2 linked regions of the Caenorhabditis elegans genome follow. The protein of the gene in region 1 purifies or fractionates together with the protein of each later gene. This does not show direct contact. Each region holds a gene or a part of one and is shown in the gene's direction. Other genes may lie near its edges.

The links.
Region 2: the proteins of kpc-1 (region 1) and asp-4 fractionate together in Caenorhabditis elegans (co-fractionation; one large-scale study listed by BioGRID). This does not show direct contact.

Annotation. Positions count from the first base shown.
Region 1 is NC_003279.8:11,671,941-11,683,509, forward strand, and holds kpc-1 (Furin-like protease kpc-1), read left to right. Parts: upstream 1-4,004; 5' UTR 4,005-4,104; coding exon 4,105-4,368; intron 4,369-4,854; coding exon 4,855-5,145; intron 5,146-5,899; coding exon 5,900-6,300; intron 6,301-6,520; exon of another isoform or gene 6,521-6,610; intron 6,611-6,896; coding exon 6,897-7,520; exon of another isoform or gene 7,521-7,988; coding exon 7,989-8,152; intron 8,153-8,299; coding exon 8,300-8,443; intron 8,444-8,501; coding exon 8,502-8,692; 3' UTR 8,693-9,035; downstream 9,036-11,569. Other genes in the region: scrm-4 (Phospholipid scramblase), read right to left, coding at 9,093-9,127, 9,184-9,241, 9,286-9,350, 9,394-9,493, 9,685-9,933, 10,149-10,424. UniProt on the Caenorhabditis elegans protein: Furin-like protease which cleaves proproteins at the RX(K/R)R consensus motif. During neuronal development, regulates the formation and extension of dendrite branches and cellular positioning of various type of neurons.
Region 2 is NC_003284.9:13,216,665-13,225,664, reverse strand, and holds asp-4 (Aspartic protease 4), read left to right. Parts: upstream 1-4,202; 5' UTR 4,203-4,237; coding exon 4,238-4,323; intron 4,324-4,904; coding exon 4,905-5,091; intron 5,092-5,137; coding exon 5,138-5,261; intron 5,262-5,388; coding exon 5,389-5,631; intron 5,632-5,842; coding exon 5,843-6,386; intron 6,387-6,439; coding exon 6,440-6,590; 3' UTR 6,591-6,680; downstream 6,681-9,000. Other genes in the region: skr-19 (Skp1-related protein), read left to right, coding at 957-1,424; skr-20 (Skp1-related protein), read left to right, coding at 2,128-2,649; R12H7.4 (G_PROTEIN_RECEP_F2_4 domain-containing protein), read right to left, coding at 6,734-6,838, 6,888-7,139, 7,186-7,272, 7,502-7,736, 7,781-7,918, 7,969-8,057, 8,102-8,204, 8,254-8,327 and 1 more. UniProt on the Caenorhabditis elegans protein: Aspartic protease, which is part of the necrosis cell death pathway. Involved in neuronal cell degeneration. Involved in heat stress response.

The DNA of each region.
Region 1 (11,569 bases):
AGTCCTTAAATGCCTATTTTTTCAAAAAGTACCTATGCCTACCTTGTCTATTTATACCTTTGCCTACCACTGCCTGCCTTTGCATCTATGCCTATGCCTACCTACTCTCTCGGTGATCTATGCCTACTTTTTTCCTACCTACCTACGTGCCTTCTTAACTTATCCAACCTTGTGCCTACCTTCCTACCATCAATCTGCTTTCCTATTTTATGCGATTTATCCTTAAATTTCAAGGAGGCGTAGGCAGGCAGGCAAGGCTTTGAAAAACTCAAAAATAAAAAATAAATCCCAAATTTTCTTCGTACTCCCGAACCCTCCCTTCTCCCGAATTTTGATGAATGAATTGGCTAGTGACCAAGGCCATTCCGATTCCAGCGGTGTTTTTTCCCTTTGAAGACGTTTCGGCCACTCTTATGATGGATTGATGAACAGTTTTTCACTCTTTCCTTTGCTTTTTTTTGGCGCTTTTTTGCTGGTTTTGACCAGACGAAATTTCGCTCCGCAAAGTATTCTTCCAATTTTCTGAGTAGGTTTTGACTAGGTTTTGCTCCGCGGAGAGTTGAGCTAGAAAAATACTTTTAACTGGAAAAACGTAGCAAATTTTATGCTGAATATTTTGCTAGTTGGCAACTTTTTAATATCTTAACCTTGCGCGGAGTTATACACGTTCAAACTTTGACTCACGTTGTGTGCGCCTTTTATATTTTTTTAACGGATATATCTCCTTGGAGAGTTGAGCTATAAAAAATTTCCCAATTAACAAAATATTGCAAATTTTATGCTGAATATTTTGATAGTTGATAACTTTTTAATATCTTAACTGTGAACGGAGTTATACACTTTTAAACATTGGAGGGAGCACCGTCTGCGTCTATTATCCTAAAAATTAGCATGAAGCCTAAAAAAAAGCATAAAGCCTAAAAATCACTTTTTGATTTTCCGAGCCTTCCGCCGGAACAAATTTCAAAAGTATCATGCAAAAAGGGGGATCGATTTCAAACTAAAAACCGGAAGTTGTCACATTCCTATCTCTCTCTCTCTCTCTTCTTTCGGTTTTTCTGCTTTTTTGCTCATACATAGTTCCAATGAAAAAAGATACATTTTTCCTGCGTGTATTGAATTATGGGACACAACCCTTTTTTGAGCCTTAGGGAGTTTGAGGTGTCAGTTTTGTATGCTTTAGAGGAGAACGAAATATCAGTTTAAAAAAAGCTCTTCTGTAAATATCGAGTTAAACTCAAAACTCACAACTCTCAAAAATTCAAGTTTTAGGAAAGTTGAGAGGGCGCAGACAACGAGAGTACTCTCTTTCTCTGCGCTCTCTCTTCAAATGTGAAATCAAAAAAAAATTGACATATTTTTCATTATTGATGCTCTCTGTGTATTGTGGCTTCTGACAGGTGATATCCTTTCATCCAGCAGCCCAAACAAGGTGTCATCTTCCCCCGCTTGGGGGTTTCCATTTTCGGGGTCATCCGTATTTGCTCTCTCACCCCCGAAACCATCAAAGCTTTCTCTCTCTCTCCGTTTATGTACATTTTTGTGTGTTATACCTGAACAACACAAACATACGCTCTCACTTTCCACTCAAAGGCTCCTTAGACATTTTGGACGAGGTCGAAATTGAAAGTGTTGATCTTTTATAACGGAGTTTGCTTTTTTTCTTCTTTTTTGGAAGTTTTGAAAATTTTCTAAATTTTGGAAAGGTTTAGAAAGGTCCAGAAAATTCTAGAAAGTCGTAGAGAATTTTCAACAAAATTCTAGGGGTACTAAGATGTTTTATAATTTTTTTGAAAGTTCTGAACAGATGTGGATAACTTTAAAAATGTTCTAGAAGGTTCTAACAAATTTTAAAAAATTCTAGAAAAATTTTAGAATTTTTGAAAAATGTATAGAAAACTTCTAAAGGTTTCCAGAAAATTCTAGAAAATTTTTAACAATTTTTGGATAACTCTAGAAAAATCTTGAAAGTTTTTAAAAGTTTCAAAACGTTTTAGAAGGTTCTAGAAAATTTTAGAAAACTCTTGAAAATTCTTTTAAATATTCTAAAAATTCTGAGAATGTTCTAAAAGGTTCTATACAATTTTTGGAAAATTCTAAAATTATAGAAAGCTCCAAAATTTCTTGAAAGTTGTAGAAAAATTCAGAAAATTTTTTAAAAGTTCCAAAAAAGTCTAGAAAGTTAAATAAATTTCTTAAGATTTCCAGAAAGTTCTAGAAAAATTATAGGCAAATTTAGAACATTCCAAAAAGTTCTAGGCAACTCTAAAAAATTGTAGAAAGTTCAAGAAAATTTTTAAAAAAATTTAGAAACATTAAAAAACGTTTTGGCTATTCTAGGAAGTCTCTAAAATATTCTAGAATCGTCTGATCCATAAATATTTCTAGAATATTCTATTTTTTCTTCCAATTGGTCAACAATATTCAGACCTGAACATTACCCTATGTAATCCGATAATAATCAGCTGACACGGGTCACATAGTGTGCACAAACAAGCACTTTTTCCATTCTTATCTTATCTCTCTGCGTATTTCTCTCTAGATGTCAGCAGTTTTCCTTAATTATTACTTTGTGTGACAGATATGAGGTTTGATTTTTTTGTACCAAAGTTTTTTTAAAAGTACAATTTTTACTTTTTTTCCAGCTGCGCAAATCTTTCATGGGTTGTGCTGTGAGCCCACTAAAACCGCTTTAAAATCGGAGCATCATTCAGACTTTAATTCCCAATGGACCGGAGCAGCAGCTGCTCTTGCTCTTTTTGGTGCTCTTTTGAAAGCGCAAAGATTTTAGGATAATTTTGAATAAAAACTGTACTTTTTTCAATGTTTTTTTGGTGCTTTAAAATTCAAATTTCTGAAAAAATTTAAATTTTACAGAAAAAAAATATTACAAAATTTATTTTTTTTCGAAATTTTCAATAAATTTTTTTTTGTAATTTTGTTTCAACCGCATCACTAGATAAGTCCTACTAATTTTTTTTAAATTTTCCCGTTTTCTTTTCAATGTCCATCATTTTGGCGCTTGGCTCACACGCGATAACTGAATAAATTTGAAGCCTAGCTCCCTCTGCCTCTGGGCTCCGAGAGCACACACTTTAGCCGTCTAACTCTCTGTCTCTATATGTGCATATTTCCGTTTTATTTTCAGATTCCCAGTGACTCACTGGAATCAGTCGGAATTTGTTATTTATTCAGTTGGAAGGAATTATTCATTTTTTGGGGGAAAAAATTATTATTGGTTTTGGTTTTTGTTGGGCTTTTGAATTTTTTTCAGTAAAAAAAATGTCTATTTTTTCAATTCGGTTCAATTTTCAGACAATTTTAGGTAATTTGTCATACAACAATTTTCCCATTTATTACAAATTTTAGTCAGTTTTTCCCTAACTTTTCCTGTTTCTCTCTTTTTTCTATTTTTTTCTGTTTTTCTTTTTTCCTTCTCTTCCTCCTTTTTTAATATTTTTTCTTCCCTGGCCTTTCCTTTTCCTCCTTTTTTCCTCTTTATTCCTTTCTTTTTCCGATACTTTTTTATATCTTTCTTTCTGTTTTTCTTTCTTTTTTTTCTTATCTTCCTCATTTTCCTCCTTTTTCCTACCCGGTTTCTCTCACTTTTTTCCTTTTCTTTCCTGTTTTTGCCTCTTGTTTCTTTTTCCCTTCTCTTCCTCCATTTTTACTATTTTTTCTTCCCTGACCTCTTCTTTTTTTCTTTTTTTTATCATCTTTTTCTTCTTTTTTTCCTTCTTTTCCTCCTCTTTTTTCTTTATTTTCTCCTTTTTCTTTCTTTTTCCTTCTTTTTTTTTCTGTTGTTCCTACTCTTGCTCATTTTCCTATCTTCTTTTTTTCCTCCTTTTTTCCTATTTTCCTCCCTAGTTTCTCTTTTTTTCTTTCTCTTTCCTCTTTTTTCTCTTCATTCTTTTTCCCTCCTTTTTCCTTTCTTTTTCCTCTCCTTTTTCTCCTTTTTATTTTTTTTATTTTTTCTACTTCTGCCAACTTTTCAATATTTTCAGAAACCCCCGAATCATCTGAAAATTCATCAAAATATTCAAGAAAATCATGCGATAAACATCGGCGACGGGGGAATATATTCCAAAAAGAAAATTTGCAAAAATGTCAAATATCAGTTGGTACCGTCATTGTTCGGTTCGGCTTCAACTCGTCACACTTGCACTTTTCCTTTTATTAGGCTCCGCCTCTTTAGGCTCCGCCCACATTGATGAAGAGTTCGAAGATGACGTCACGACGACAATATCATCGATTGCGTCACCGATGAGGCGGACGTACACAAATGAGTGGGCGGTGCGGATAGCGGGTGGGAAGGTTGAAGAAGCGAACCGACTGGCGAACAAATACGGGTACACGAATTTGGGTCCGGTTAGTTTTATTTTTGAATATTTCAAAAAAATTTCCATAATTTTGATTTTAAATCGTGGAAAAATATTAATTTTGAGCAAAATTGGGTCTCGCCTGCAAAGCTACAGTAACCGACCCACGGATTTTCAAAACAGTTATTGTTATAAATTTTTAACAAATTAAAAGAAACATAAAAACATTTTAGATCGTCAAAAAATAATTATTTTAAGCAAAGTTAGAAAATTTTCAAAAAAAAATCAAGGTCCCGCCACGAAAACTAGAGTACTCAAAAACTTTTGCTGTTTTAGAAAAGTTTATGTTAACAGTATTGAATATTATTAAATTTCAAAAATTTCGCTTTTCAGATTGTCAAAAAATATTGATTTTGAGGGAAGTTAGAAGATTTTGAAAATTTTGAAATAAATCCAAACAAAATTTTTTTTCGAAATTTTATATTTTTACGGAAAATCTATATATTTTTAAAATTCAAGAAAAATTATTTTCCAGATAATTCCGGGTGACGAGTACTATTTATTCCGTGACGATCGAAAAAAGAGTCGATCGTCGCGAAAAACGCGAAGCTTATCAGCAAATCAGCTTCAACACGAGGAAGATGTCATGTGGATGGAACAGCAAGTGGCGAAGCGGAGAGTGAAAAGAGGATATCGAAGGATTCGACGACATACTGATGATAATGATATTTTTGAAGAGGATGATGATGGTACTCAAATTAGCAAGTCGAGAAATAGAAAACATCCGGATCCGAACGATCCGTTGTGGACTGATATGTGGTATTTGGTAGGTTATTGAATTATTGAGCAAAAAATTAGAAATTCAATGGTTTTTAAATTATTCCAAAAAATTGATTTTCCGCCGAGTTATGAGCATTTATAGTTGGTGGCCGAACTTTGATATTCTAGGCCACTTAAAATTAAATAAGTGAAAAAGATGCAGAATTTTCAGATCACTTATAAAAATTTTGAATCATCGAAAAATATTGATTTTCCGCCGAGTTATGAGCACTTAAAGTTGGTGGCCTAACTTTGGGTTTCTAGGTCACCAAAAATTAAATAAGTCAAAAAATACAAAACTTTCAGATCAATTCTATGCATTTTGAATCATCGAAAAATATTGATTTTCCGCCGAGTTATGGGAATTTGAATTTGGTGGCCGAACTTTGATTTTCTAGGCCATCAAAAGTTAGATAAACAAAAAAGATGCAGAACTTTCCGATCAGTTTTGTACATTTTGAATCATCGGAAAATATTAATTTTTAGCCGAGTTACGAGGTTATAAAGTTGGTGGCCTAGGAATCCAAAGTTCGGCCATCAACTTCAAATGCCCATAACTCGACGAAAAATCAATATTTTTCAATGATTCAAAATGTACAGAATTTACCTTAAAATTCTGCATCTTTTTCGCATATCTAACTTCTCATGGCCTAGAAATTCAAAGTTCGGCCACCAACTTTAAATGCCCATAACTCGGCGGTGATTGAATATTTTTCAATTTTTCAAAAACCATTTTTAAATTAACTCTCTAAACTTTTCAGAATCGAGGTGAACATCATTCTGACTCAACAACCCGTATGGATCACAATGTAAAAGAAGCCTGGGACCTCGGGTACACAGGAAAAGGAGTCGTCGTCACGATTCTTGACGACGGTTTGGAAAGAACTCACCCAGATATTTCTCCGAATTACGATGAACGTGCTTCATATGACGTCAACGATCGAGATAATGACCCGATGCCAAGATACGAATTTTCGGATGAAAATCGACATGGAACTCGGTGTGCTGGAGAAGTTGCGGCGATTTTTAATAATAGTTTATGTATTGTTGGAATAGCTTACAATGCAAATATCGGTGGAATCAGAATGCTCGATGGTGACGTCACAGATGCCGTCGAAGCCGCTTCCGTTGGGCATAATGCAGATTACATTGATATTTATAGGTATGGGCATTATTTCAGAATTGAGCCAAAATTTACAATTTCATCAGCTTCAATCAAAAATATTGATTTTGAGCCAAGTTATGGACCTTGGAAGTTGGTGGCCTAACTTTGGATTTCTAGGCCACCAAAAATTAAATAAGTCAAAAAGATGCAGAATTCCAAAGCGGAGCGAACAGTTTTTAAATTATTCAAAAATATTCAGTATTAATCGAGTTATGGGCATTTGAAATTGGTGTCCTAACTTTGAATTTCTAGGCCACCAACTTTAAAAGCTCATAACTTTGTTCAAATTCAATATTTTTCGAAATCTTCAACGGGTTAGAGTTAGACCTGGATTACGCATCTTCCCAGTTTAATTGATTGCTGATGGCCTAGAAAACCAAAGTTCGGCCAACCAAAGTTCGGCCACCTGCATATTTTTATTCTTTTCAATTTGTTCTGGCCTAGAAAATCAAAAATAATCCAAAGTCAGGCCACCAACTTCAAACGCCTATAACTCAAAATTAATGTTTTGAAAGATTTAAAAACTATTGTAATCGTCAGTTCTTTCTCTTTCTGTTGGTTATTTTTTCGAAAAACAAAAAAAACTCTTCCAGCGCATCCTGGGGACCGGATGACGATGGCCGAACCGTCGACGGCCCCGCAAAACTCACAAGAAGTGCCTTCGAAAAAGGAATCACCATGGGTCGAAAAGGAAAAGGCTCAATTTTTGTATGGGCATCAGGAAATGGAGGAAAAGACGCGGATTCGTGTAATTGTGATGGGTACACCAACTCCATATACACGTTATCCATATCAAGTGCCACTGAAAATGGAAATATCCCATGGTACTCTGAAGCTTGCAGTAGTACCCTTGCGACTACCTACTCTAGTGGAGCAACTGGCGAAAAGATGATCCTAACCACAGATCTACACCACGCGTGCACAAATATGCACACGGGGACCAGTGCAAGTGCTCCGTTGGCTGCTGGAATTGTTGCTCTTGCTCTAGAAGCCAACCCGAATCTCACGTGGCGAGACCTTCAACATATTGTGATACGAACTGCAAAGCCTATCAATTTAAGAGCAGGAGATTGGACTACAAATGGGGTTGGGAGAAATGTGTCCCATAGTTTTGGTTATGGGTTGATGGATGCTGGAGCCATGGTGAAGCTGGCAAAGATCTGGAAGAAGGTTGATGAGCAGCATCGGTGCAGGCAGTTTTATCCGTCGAGATATAAGTGAGTAGTTATCACCCAAATTTATGAAAAATTCCAGAAGTTTCTCGAATTTTGCAAAAGTTTTCAAAAGTTTCTAAACATTTCTAAAACTTTCCTGCTGTTTTCAGAATTTTTAAGAATTTTCCGTTTTCAGGAGCTATTAAAATTTTTTTAGACTTTCTAGAAGTTTGTCAAACATTTAAAAATGTTTCCTAATACTCGAGAAAATTTTAAAAATTTACTGAAAATCCCTGAGATCTTCAAAAATTTTTGACAAGTTTCTAGACGTTTCTCAAATCTTCCAGAAGTTTATAGAAGTCTACAGAAATTTCCAAAAATTTCTCGATTTTTCCAGAAGTTTCTAGAAGTTTCAGAAGTTCACACAATTTTCCAGAAATTTCCAGGGACTTCTACGCGTTTTCAGAAGTTTCCGAAAATTCTAGAAATTGAGAAAATGTTTAGAAATTCCAAAAAACTCCAAGTTTTTAGAAATATCCCCAACGGAAACCGCCTTCAACTCCAACTTTACTCCGACGGATGTTATGGTGGAGCCGATGAGAATAAGGTGTCTTATGTGGAGCACGTGCAGGCAATCGTCACATTGAAAGCTCCAAAACGTGGAGATTTGCAAATCTACTTGACTTCTCCGTCAGGTAATGATTTTGAAAATAAATTTAGGATGTAAAACTGACTTTTTTTAAACCTTCATAACTTTTTTTGACGAAAAGCTAGAACATTGGCTCAAAAAGCGAAAATGCTCAGCTGCAAATTTCAAATTTAAAAAAATTTAAAACGTTCAGGCACAAAATCCACGTTGCTCACAAAAAGAGCACGCGACACATCACGAAGTGGCTTCACAGATTGGGCTTTCATGACGACCCATAACTGGGGGGAGCAGGCCGCCGGGCTGTGGATTCTGGAAATCGATAATGATGGATGGGATGGTGAGTATTGATTTCTGAAAATTCATTGATTTTTAGGAGTGATTATCGATTTTTGCAGACGCCGAGCTTGTAAAATGGGAACTCGTGCTCTACGGAACTGATCGGGAAACCGGCGACTTTGGAGGCCAACATGCTTCACCGTTAGCCGTCAGAAGTGTCCAGATGGAAGCCACGTCATCCGGCACCCAATATTCAATTTTCCACGTCATCACTCTTGTCATATTAACATTTTCCCAGATTTTATATTAACTTCATTTGTTTTTAAAAAATCTGATTTCCAATTCAAAAAGTCTCAAAATCGATCGATCTCCTGTCATATCTTTAATTTAGATTATTGATTGAATTTTTCCGAAAAAAATAGTGAACTTTTCTCGTCTCTTGTTACGGTACAATTTCGGTTTCTGTACATTCCGCTAATATTGATTTTTTTCTAGAATTTTCTTCCCCCCAATTTTCACTTTTCCCCACTCCCGCCCGTTTGACAACGATTTTTTTTCGTCAGAATTTTAAAACCTATTTCCGATGGTGCTAGAACATTTTTTTATTGATTTTACTAAAATAAAAAAACAAAATAATAAAAAGTTTGAATTTCAACATTTTTAAGTAAAAAAAATAGAAAAAAAAACAATTGCAGGCAGAATGTTTGTGACTAACAAATGGGGCAGCACCGGACATACGATGAACCTAAAATTAAAATAAAATTAGTTGCATGCTTGTTTTAAACATCAGGAAACACAAACCTCCACAACCGATCGTGGATTCGTCGACATCGTGGATTTGTTGGAACTCCAGAAAGTTCTAAAATTAAATTGCTTTAAACTTTTGGTAGTAACTAAACTTACATTCACAATCAAAAATGTTGCTCCCATCAGTACTGCTTTGAGCTTCACATCCAGGTCGGTAGGAACTGCAAACTGATGGTTTTTTAGATATTAATGAAAAAACCCTACAATTTATTGTATATTTTTTGAAAACGATGGGTTCGCCAGCCAAACGTGCCGTCTTTCTGATGATCTTGCCAATTTCTGTGCCATCATCGATGTTTTTGATCTGGAATTATTGAGGAATCTAAGGGAAGCAGCGGACATTTTATTGTGAAATTGCAAGTTGCACCCGACGCTCTACGGGTTTGGCCCGGTGAGTAACAACCGACGTCTCATGCTAAACCCGAAATGTGTCGGCTGCACGAAACTAGCCAAAGATTCGAGCAGCCGACACTTTATGGGCTTGTGTTGACTTACCGAAAACTCCTTATCCTGAAATCCCATCAACTTCCAGAATGGAATCTCAATTCGGAAGATTCGGGCCCCTTTTCCATCCATAACGTCAAAACTAGTAGTCAGAAATCCAAACCGCTGGCGAATAGTACCTAGCGTCCCCAGAGTTGGGGATTCAACGACGCAATCGTGCTGACAGCAACCGACACATGCACAACAGCCATAGCAGCAGCCTCCACAACATCGGAACTCACGCTTGACGGTCAGAACTTCCTGGAAAACTGAATTTTTGATATTTTTCTCCTAGTTTCTTAAGTGATTAGTCAAGAAATCCCAATATTCATCACGGGGATTTTGCAAGACAAAAATGATCAGAAATCTATGTAGTTTTAAAACAGTTTTGAAAGAAATTTCGGCACCTTTCTGCCAGAGCTCGCGGAGCATTAGACCAAATTTCAGCTACTACAAATGCTCTAAGAGCTGCCTACCGCTTTCAATGCATTGTTAATATGCATTACAAATCCACGTTGTGAACCACAGAACCTTCTTTCACTACCATCGGACTCTTCGAGCACATCATAACACTGTTCTCCATTTTCATTTCTAATCTGGTATCGTTTTGCGGTCCCCCAATCCGCCAAAATCTCCACAGGTTGCATGATTTCATGCACCTCGACTTTGCTCAAACTTGTGAGCAGTTGTAGAACTGTCGTCGGGGGTTGTTCTGGTATTAAGGGTTGCTGAGATATTATGGGTAATTCCATTGTGTTTCTGAATAAGTATGGGGTTTTTGTAGAAAGTTGATTGTAAAGGGGCTGAACTGAAAGAAAATAAAAATTATTAAAATTAGAGTTTTTAAGCAAAAGTTCAAAGCTCGCGGAGCATTCCTACAAACCAAAAACTTTTAAAATAAAGTTTTTATGGGATCGCGGAGCACCAGGCGCTGAATTCAGCTCCACAATCTGGTAATCATAGTGGTTTACGTGACGTCAAAAAAAAAGATGCTTCGTGAGCTTGCACAAAAATGTTTTCGAATTTGATCTAAATTTACAAATTTTCAGCTTCTAAGCTCCCAGCTCGCGGAGCACAAAGTTAGCTCAACCTTAAACATCTCTAAAACTAGAAAATATGGCTCTCAAGCTCCCAAGAAGCTGAAATCAAATTTTATAATAAAAAGCTTTATATCAAAAGTTCAATGACGTCATACAACTAGAGGGAAATAAGAAAAAAAAATTGTGCACGGCACAAACAATTTTAAATCTGATTAATATGAAAAAAGTTTCTAGTTCTGGCTCCCGGATCACCGAAATTAAATGTGGGCTCAATTTAGCTAGATTCAGCTCAGCTGGCTGAGAGCTTCAATTTAACACCCATCATGCCTACATTCCCACAGTTTTGATGTAGGGCTCTGTGAGCATTTAGAGTTGCTCCGTTAGCACAGAACACTCCAAATTGTAAATATTCGTGCTCAATTAACCAAAAATTTTAAAACTTTACATCCACATTGTTTAGATTATTTTAGTTTTAAAATTTCAGCTTTCAAGCTCGTGGAGCACCCAGGTGCTCGGTGAGCTCAATATAAAAATATTGAAACCTAGGCAATATGGGGCTCAAATTGACGCTCTAAGGGAGCTGAACTTATAATAACAATTTTATAATAAAAATGAACAATGACGTCATTTTTTTTAAACAAAAAATTGCGGAGCACCAAAATGCTCCGTGAGCTCAATATGGAAAACATTGAAACCTAGGCAATATATTATCAGAAGTTCCACTAAAAAGTAGATACTAAGAATGGCTTTTCAATGAAAAAATGGCCGAAACATTTTCACCAGTTTTCCAACAAAATCGTAGTCAGCCAGCTAACAACCAAACAAAACTACACTCTACTCTACAAACAAAAGGGTTG
Region 2 (9,000 bases), on another chromosome or scaffold:
TAGCTTTATAAGTGCGCGTTGCGGCTGCGTCGCGGTCTTGTCTTGCAGGAATAGGTAGTGTGTTGGAAGATTGATTCATTCTCGAAAGAATGAAAAGAAAAAAGGTTTCATATGTCAGTTTCTAGCATAAAAAGGAGGAAACTGGTTATTTTATTTTCCCTTTCAAATTTGAAGTTAGAATTCGAATTTTTTTGCTATTTTCACAGGAATAATTTAGTCGTTCTAATACCGTGTGAGCCGAACAAGAAAACAAAAAAAAATCAATTTTTCCAGACCTTTCCTGTAATGAAATATTAGGTTCTTATCTGATGACACTCTTCCTTTTGATAGTTGTGTTGTGTGAGTTCACGTGACTTTCCATATTTCTAATGGCCGTGGAAGAGAAACGCGTCGTCTGCCAGCCTTCGGGGGAAGACGTTGGTGCTGAAGGTGTGCTTGAGGAGCGCACATAAACTTATCGATTTTCTTGAAATCTTGATTTTCAAACATTTTAGTAAAATAATACATTCTTGAAACGCTATTTTCAAATCAGTTTTTCCTAATGTGCTATGTAATTGAACTGTTCAACAGAAAGTAATGATTGTCGTGACTTATCAGTGACTTTTTTTTCATTTTTTTTGTACCAACTAGTGGTCACCCATCATATTCTTGACATACACTTTATTGATCCAAAAATTTCTGTGTTTAACATTGTAATAGTTCTAAGAATCGGATAAAAAAACTTTATTTTCAGCTACGTTTTTTAAAGCAAAAGTGCGAAAGAAATTATTACACATTGAATTTTATTGTCAAACGATTTAATTTAGTTTTTTCTTCTGCAAGAAACTACATACAAATAGAACTTCATCTAGAAAATTTAAGGAAATAGTTTGAATCCTGACTATTACTATTATTTGCTAATTTTTTTTCTTCTTTTCATTCTTTCTACTACAGACATTTTCAAGTATTTCAGTGTAATGCAAGTTGAAGAACCTGTAATACTCTACAAACTTCGGTCAACAGATGGGCAGAGATTTCTGGCAGATAGGCGAACAATCGGAATGATAGGACGGATTGAGGACCTATTTAGAAATGCTGGATTAGACCTGATTCCTGCCGATCAACTGCAGCCAATTCAACTAGAAATCCCTGCGACAGTGATGAGGAAAGTGATCGAGTGGTGCGACCATCATAAGCACGACCCGCCCTACGACGAATCTGAACCGGAAACCAATGATATTCCTGACTGGGATGCGTCGTTTCTGATGGTGAGGCACAACATGCTCTTTGATATAATCCGAGCCGCGAGGGATTTTACTGTACCTGGTCTCTTCGCCATGTGCTGCCGTGTCGTCGGACAAAATCCTAGAGAGATTATTGACGGATTGGTGAATGATGAAGAGGAGGAGCAGCCAGTATATCCAGTGGTGGCTGCAGCGGCTTAGGAATTTCATTTCAGATGTGTGGTGTTTCGTATGGTATGGGAAAATTTAGACTATTTGTTTTCATTTCAGTAAATATTTGAAGTGAGAAAAATGTAATCATAAGATCAAAGTTGAGCCCATTTTTGAAATTTTTGTGATAATTTGGGCAACATTTTAGCAAAAGTATTCTTCGTCTTTTATATTTTACAGAAAAAATGCAAAAACCATACTAATTTTGTAAACAATGCAACTTTATTTTTCAAGTTTGAATCAAAAATTCTCTTCTCGATTCCCTACAAAAAAACTTAAATACAACCACCATACTTCTCAGCCACCACCACATTTAATGCTAATTTCCCGTGTTCAACCGTCTTGTATTCAATTTTATTTTCTCTGCTTCTTCGTTCAATTTATATTTTAAAACTTTCGCTGTAGATTTGTAATATAGAAAATTTGCCTTTGATCAACTTGACTCACAACGCCATTCACTTTTCTTCAAAAAATTTTACAATTCCAGTTTTTAATCGTTTCATTCCATCTTTAATAAATTCATAGTGTATTCTTCCAGCTCTTTTCCACAGGTCTATGATTCGCCAAATAAATAATAAAAATTACTTTAAAGATATCTCATTTATATATTTATTTTTGTGTGGTTTGAATCCACTCAATAATATTTTTGAAACAATTGCAAAACTATTTAATCAATTACCTTTAGTTCCACATCATGACCACACCACGATCTGCGCCCTTGTACAAACTGAAGTCAGAGGATGGTCAAATTTTTAATGTCGAACGAGGACCAATGAAATTTTGTGCATTTATCAATCAGAAGTTTATTGACCATGGAGTGAACGACAGAAATTGTGAACGAGCAGATCCAATTCTCGTTCCATTCCACTCATCGATTGTTCAAGCTGTAATAGAGTGGCTTTACCATTATCAGGACAACCCGCTCGCCCGACGAGACTCCAAAATTCGTTACCACGATTTTTCCGAATGGGACAAGCAGTTTTTCAACGTGGAATCGGGAGTTCTTTTTGCACTACTCAATGCTTCTCATGCGCTTGGAGTCGAAGATTTGATGAATATGGGGTGTGCAGCCGCAGCAGAATTGATTCGAGGAAAAAGCACGGAAGAAATTCGCAAGATCTATGGAATCAGGTCAGATGAAGAACAAATGGAGGAAGCGTTGGCAAATGGTGGAGAGGGAACATCTGCAATGACATTCACAACGGATTCTGATTGATGTTTAATTTCACATATTGTGAAGAAGATGTTTGAAAGAATATATTTATACACTTTGATTCAAGTTTATTTGTGAATAAATTATTTTACAAACCTCATAAATGAAAAATTGAAGTTATAAGAATGTAAAAGAATAGTTGGAAAACAAAACAAACAACTAAAGTGTCACTACTAATTAAAAAATTGCTTAAAATTAAATATCAAAGAACCATATGTAAATCAAGTTCTCGTTGTTTCAGAATATGAGGTGAGCCCCCAAATTACCGGATTTTTATTTCCGATTTTTTCTGATTTTGCATCCAATTTGGCCGAACTTGTACATTTCTGGTGTTTATTGCAAAATACTAGGTTTTAAAAGAACTAAACGTTTATAAACTTCATGACGGAATTGAATGCAGCGTTCTGATTACTAAATCTGGAAAATTTAATAGTGTGCTTTTTTTTAAAGTTTTTTTTTTCATCTGCCTTAATTTGCCCTTTTTTGTGGAATATTATTTTTCAATTTTGTTAGTTAAGTAAAGTTTCACTATGCTCAATTCTTCAGACTTTGGGGGGATAACTTTTTCGAGAGTTGTGATTAAAAGATACATAATATTCATATATCCAGTGCCGGTTGTTTCCAATAATAGTTTTTATTGTATAGCTTTTTTCATGCTAATCCATTTCATCTAAAATTTTTTATGTATGCATTAGGACATTGCATTAGGACATGATAATTTCATCAACAATTTTAATGAAAACTGAAAATTGAACATTGAACAAAAATGTCAACAATGTTATACGAAAATTGTATATAGTTTTTCAAAAACAATTTTTAAATCTCCTGTAAGTTTTCCACGCAACTTGTATATTTTATAGGCTTAATTTAAGCAACTACTTGATATAGGAGCCCTTGAACAATTGTAGAATCTGTTTTGTAAAGCTATAACCCAATCATAGTTGTTTTAAGATGAATGAACCTAAATCAATATTATCCTTAGCATTCAAACACTGTTGTTCACAAATCAGACGGAAAAAACGGGCAGCATCCACGCTATTTTCCATCCACAAAAAAACCTCAATTTACAGAGCTTTTGTGTCTTCTATGTTTAACAGTTTAACATTAAAATTGCTTGGTCTTCCAAACGTTTTGGTTTTATTTCAAAAGTGGCCATGCAATTTTTTTCATAGTCCATTGCGTGATTGACTAACTGTCTTTCAAACTCCGTCAAAAGTCCCAATTACTGTCTACAACAACCTTGAAGACAAAATTAGATAGGATCTTGATTTGGCCGAGTTTTGAAATTATCCCATTTTCTCTCCCCTAAATCGAAACAGAACAAAGTTTCACAATTCCCTTATCATTCAAACTTGTCATCTCACCGGTACAGACGGACACGTTGACAACGGTCAGGCCATTTTTTGAATGTTTAGAATTTACTTTCCGATAATTATGCATGACAGCTGGAGGAATAACAACGAGACAGTTGACCTTGCAGCTGCTGTTGTGCCGGCAAAGAAACAAGGCGGAGTCATCATGAAGAGAAAGGGGAGATAAGAAAAGGCACAATTGAGATCGGAAGAGGCATTCAGTTAGTTTCATCGTCAGGATGAACCGCTGTATTCTTTTGCTCCTCGGAGCACTTCTTCTCGTTCAAGGTCTTCATGTTCACAAGAGGCAACAGAAATTGAGAACGTAAGTAGAGGTCGTTGGAGGTTTGTTGACACCTCATTTTGATCATCGATATAGTGAAAATGTTGGTCATGTTTCTTAATATTAGGTGCCACGCAAACACCTACTTATGACATAACTGAATAGGTGTGATAATGTGCAAGATTGATTGATACTTGAATCCTCGGTAATGAGTAACCTTGTTATCTGTTTCAATATTATATAATCCCGTCAGAATCTCATTTAGACAGGATACTATAAAGAACTGAAAGTTGTCCATTGTTTTTTATTGTAGTTTCAAATCTGATTTTGACATTAAAAAAAAAACCTAATAAAATTTTTCTAACTGTGAAAGGATTATTTAAATTCATTGGGTTTTGTTGGGAACACTTCTTTCTACTTTGATCATAACACTTTTTCTTTCTATTTTGTCTCACAAATCTAAGATTTCGAGAAGGCACATCATGCCACTTTTTCTCTCGATGGGTCACAAGACCCTCCTGCTTATCCCATTCGAGTTGATCAACACTGCTCAAAAATCCGAACAACAAGAACAAAAACAAGTGACCCACTCAGCAGTTGCTCAGTTCTTATTCTGCTTGCAGCGTTTCCCTGAAGAAGCAGCCGACTCTTCGCGAGACTCTTCTTCAAGCCGGTTCATTCGAAACCTTTGCCAAGCATCGTCATGGATATAAGAAGTACTTGAAAACCAATGGAAATCATCATTTCGACAAGTACCAAGCTTTGAATGTTGAAGGAGAGATTGATGAGCTTCTCAGAAACTATATGGATGTGAGAATTGAAACAACAAAAAACATATAACTAATCAAAGTTTTAGGCTCAATACTTTGGAACCATCTCAATCGGAACTCCAGCTCAAAACTTCACAGTCATCTTTGATACTGGGTCTTCCAATTTGTGGATTCCATCGAAAAAGTGTCCATTCTACGACATTGCATGCAGTAAGTATTTCATCACCAAATCAAACTGATATCATGCTTTTTCTTGTGAACTGATGCTGACCGAAACGTGTTTGTTTTTGACAGTTTTATGGTTTGGACAAACAAATAAAACACTTTTTCATTTCAGTGCTTCATCACCGTTACGACTCAAAGAGCTCGTCAACATACAAGGAGGATGGTAGAAAGATGGCAATTCAATATGGAACTGGATCCATGAAGGGATTCATTTCAAAGGATAGCGTTTGCGTCGCAGGAGTGTGCGCTGAGGATCAGCCATTTGCTGAAGCAACCAGTGAACCAGGAATCACCTTTGTCGCTGCCAAATTCGACGGAATCCTCGGAATGGCTTACCCTGAAATTGCGGTTCTCGGTAAGAGTTTGAAGTAGACTGGGATACACCCGGATAATCGGAAGGGTTCAGCATTTTGTTTTAGTTATAAAAGCTGTGCATTGAACATTTTGGTGTGAAGTAATAATAAGTTGCATCCTGTATGCCATCAAAGGTACAATAATTACAGAAAATGACTTTTATTTTCTGAGCACTTACTAGGTTTTCTCACTTCTGTAATACTCTATTGCAGGAGTTCAACCAGTGTTCAACACTCTTTTCGAACAGAAGAAGGTCCCATCGAATCTTTTCTCATTTTGGCTCAACCGTAACCCAGACTCTGAAATTGGAGGAGAAATCACTTTTGGAGGAATTGACTCAAGAAGATATGTTGAGCCAATCACCTATGTTCCAGTCACCAGAAAGGGATACTGGCAATTCAAGATGGACAAGGTTGTTGGATCTGGAGTTCTTGGATGCTCCAATGGATGCCAAGCAATTGCTGATACCGGTACTTCTCTCATAGCCGGACCAAAGGCTCAAATCGAAGCCATCCAAAATTTCATTGGAGCTGAGCCTCTCATCAAGGGAGAGTACATGATCAGCTGCGACAAGGTTCCAACACTTCCACCAGTCTCTTTTGTGATCGGAGGACAAGAGTTCAGTCTTAAGGGAGAAGACTATGTCCTTAAGGTTTCACAGGGTGGAAAGACTATTTGCTTGTCTGGATTTATGGGAATCGATCTCCCAGAACGCGTTGGAGAGCTCTGGATTCTTGGAGATGTCTTCATTGGAAGGTGAGCCATATCTTTTCTCAAATTAAACATTGACGAACCCAATGAAAAATCAGGTACTATTCCGTCTTCGATTTTGATCAGAACCGTGTCGGATTTGCTCAAGCTAAGACCGCCGATGGCCGTCCAGTTGATCCAGCTCCACGACCATTCCGTTCTGTCTTCGACAACGAAAGTGAGGAATCCATGGAACAAGACGACGAATAATCAACACGTTATTTTTCTCACAAATCCAGGTTTTTAAAATATTTTTAATTCATTGGCTTTATAAAACACTTTATGTTTAATAAATATTTTTCTATCAACACAATTGAAGGCACATAATCGAAAAATGCGATCATTTAGCGCCACTAAGCAACAGATGGACGAAACAAAATGTCTCCACTGTTTCCGCTATTGCTCGAATCGGTGAGCCATGAGTAGAATTTTTGAGACTCTGTGTGCTTTGTGGGGTCCTAGAAAAATAAATATAGTAGACACATCAAAATTGATAGCAACACTCACCAGTCCTTTTCCTCTTTGTGTTGATTTTTTCGGACTACTATTTCCTGATGTCTCATCTGGCTCTTTCGAGTCGCCAGCTCCAGGTTGCTTTTCTGGATTTTCATCTTCATTTTCTAGAGGTGTTTTTTCCTGAGGATTTTCAATCTTCTCATCTTCTTCATCATCTTTATCTTTTTCATATGTTGAAGGTTTCGGTGGACACATAGCGTATAAACTAGCAAAACACCCCGAACCAGCCCACTTCTGACAGGTCTGAAAAGCAAAAAAACAGACTGTGCATGAAAAATCAGTTGCTTACATTCAAATGTCCATATGTGTGGCAAACAAAAAGAGCTGGTCCAAATAGGAGTGTCATGAAGGTGACCAGAATAAACAAGTAGAGTTTCTGAATTGAATTTTATTAAAGCCATAGTTTCATGCATATCTGGCTCAAAAACAATTAGCGGTTTGATAATTGCAATAAATTAAAATGACGTTTTGCATAATAGTAACAGTTTGTTCATACGTATGATCTAAAAATTCACGAATGGTTTTTATAGTTTACTTCGAAAGTGTAACTTTTTTAAAAATTTCTTTCTATTCAAAACTATAGAAGAACACAAATGTATCCGAACCTGGTGTTCTGCAGCAAATAATATCATAAGCCAAATGCTGAATATATACTGCGAAATCAAAACCAATGATTTTACTGATCTTCTCGCCCAATAGCATTGATAAATATCTTGAGATGGTAGTTGCCGGTCGCATGCAATACACGCTAGTTGCGCTTTCAGCCCAGCTAACGTTAAAATAACCCATACCGGAATCACAAACCCCCAAAGCATATCCACAGTGGAAATGGCAGAACAGCTGGAAATCGATAACGTTTATTATAAAGTCTGAAAGTGTCCCACTGTAAATATGCTGTTCCATAATATTTTTTCTCTGGAAAATATGTCGCTAACGTTGGTCCTATTGCAAGAACAATCGGGAAGATGTAGTACAAAATCCACGGAATACTTCCGTTTTTATCGGATTTTCCATGCACCATTCTGAAATTTGACACTGAAAAACGTGAATATAATTAGAATATTTCACTTACGACGATGCGAATAATGCTTCCGCAAAGAATATTGAAGCTGTCAGGCACATGAAAAAATGATTGAAAATCGCCACAAATTTGCAGATATTCTAAATATACAAACTTCTCTGAGTTTATTTTGTTAATTACTCACTGATTTATGATTGAATACAAAGTTAAGAATACACATGCAAACTGCCAGGAGAATAATTGAAAGTTCTTCGTAAAAGTGTACATATCGTTGGTGCCCTTTATTCCTGAAATGTTACAAATCTCGACTCGAAAAAATACTATCAGATAACTTACTTATGGCAAATATTTACCAATATAGTTATTAAGCACCATACTATTATCCAGCCACCACAAAAATACATAAGGTACTGAAATTAAAAAAAAAGAAATAAATGGAAGTATTCAAACACATTTCAAACCTTCACTATATCGCTCTGGTTATCTGATAAAACTGTTTCATAACATCTTTGTAAAAGGTTATCAGTGATATTAGTTGGTTCGGCAGTTGTTGTAGTGGTTGTTGTAGAGTTTGTGTCAGTAGAATTAGTGGAACTATTATTATTTGACATATTCGACCACACACCGAGCACAAAACAAGAAGAAATGAGTTGCGTAGGATGGTTGGTGTTTGCAAACTGTTTCCCCGGAAACTGGGATCGAATATTCCAATAGCTCTATTGTGACATCTTGTGATGTTTTTTTGAATAGCCTGGTTTTTGGATCTTCTAGTCTTTGCAGAGCAAGTGAGGTTTGTTTCGAAAATGACAGTGAAAAAAGTAAAGAATTCTAATAGATTTAAACATTCTTCAAAAACTTAATTAATTTACAACCTTCAAAATGTCTGTAAATTTTGTGACGGTTTTTATATAGTTTTTCAAAAAAATATATTTTGCCATTTTTCTTTTCTATTTAATTGTTTTTATTTGCAAAGCAAGTATGCTATTTTCCTCTACTATAAAATTACTGAGAAGTAGAATGAAAAATTGTTATTTTATTCATTTTCAAATAATATTAAATAATCCAAATCCACAATAAAATATG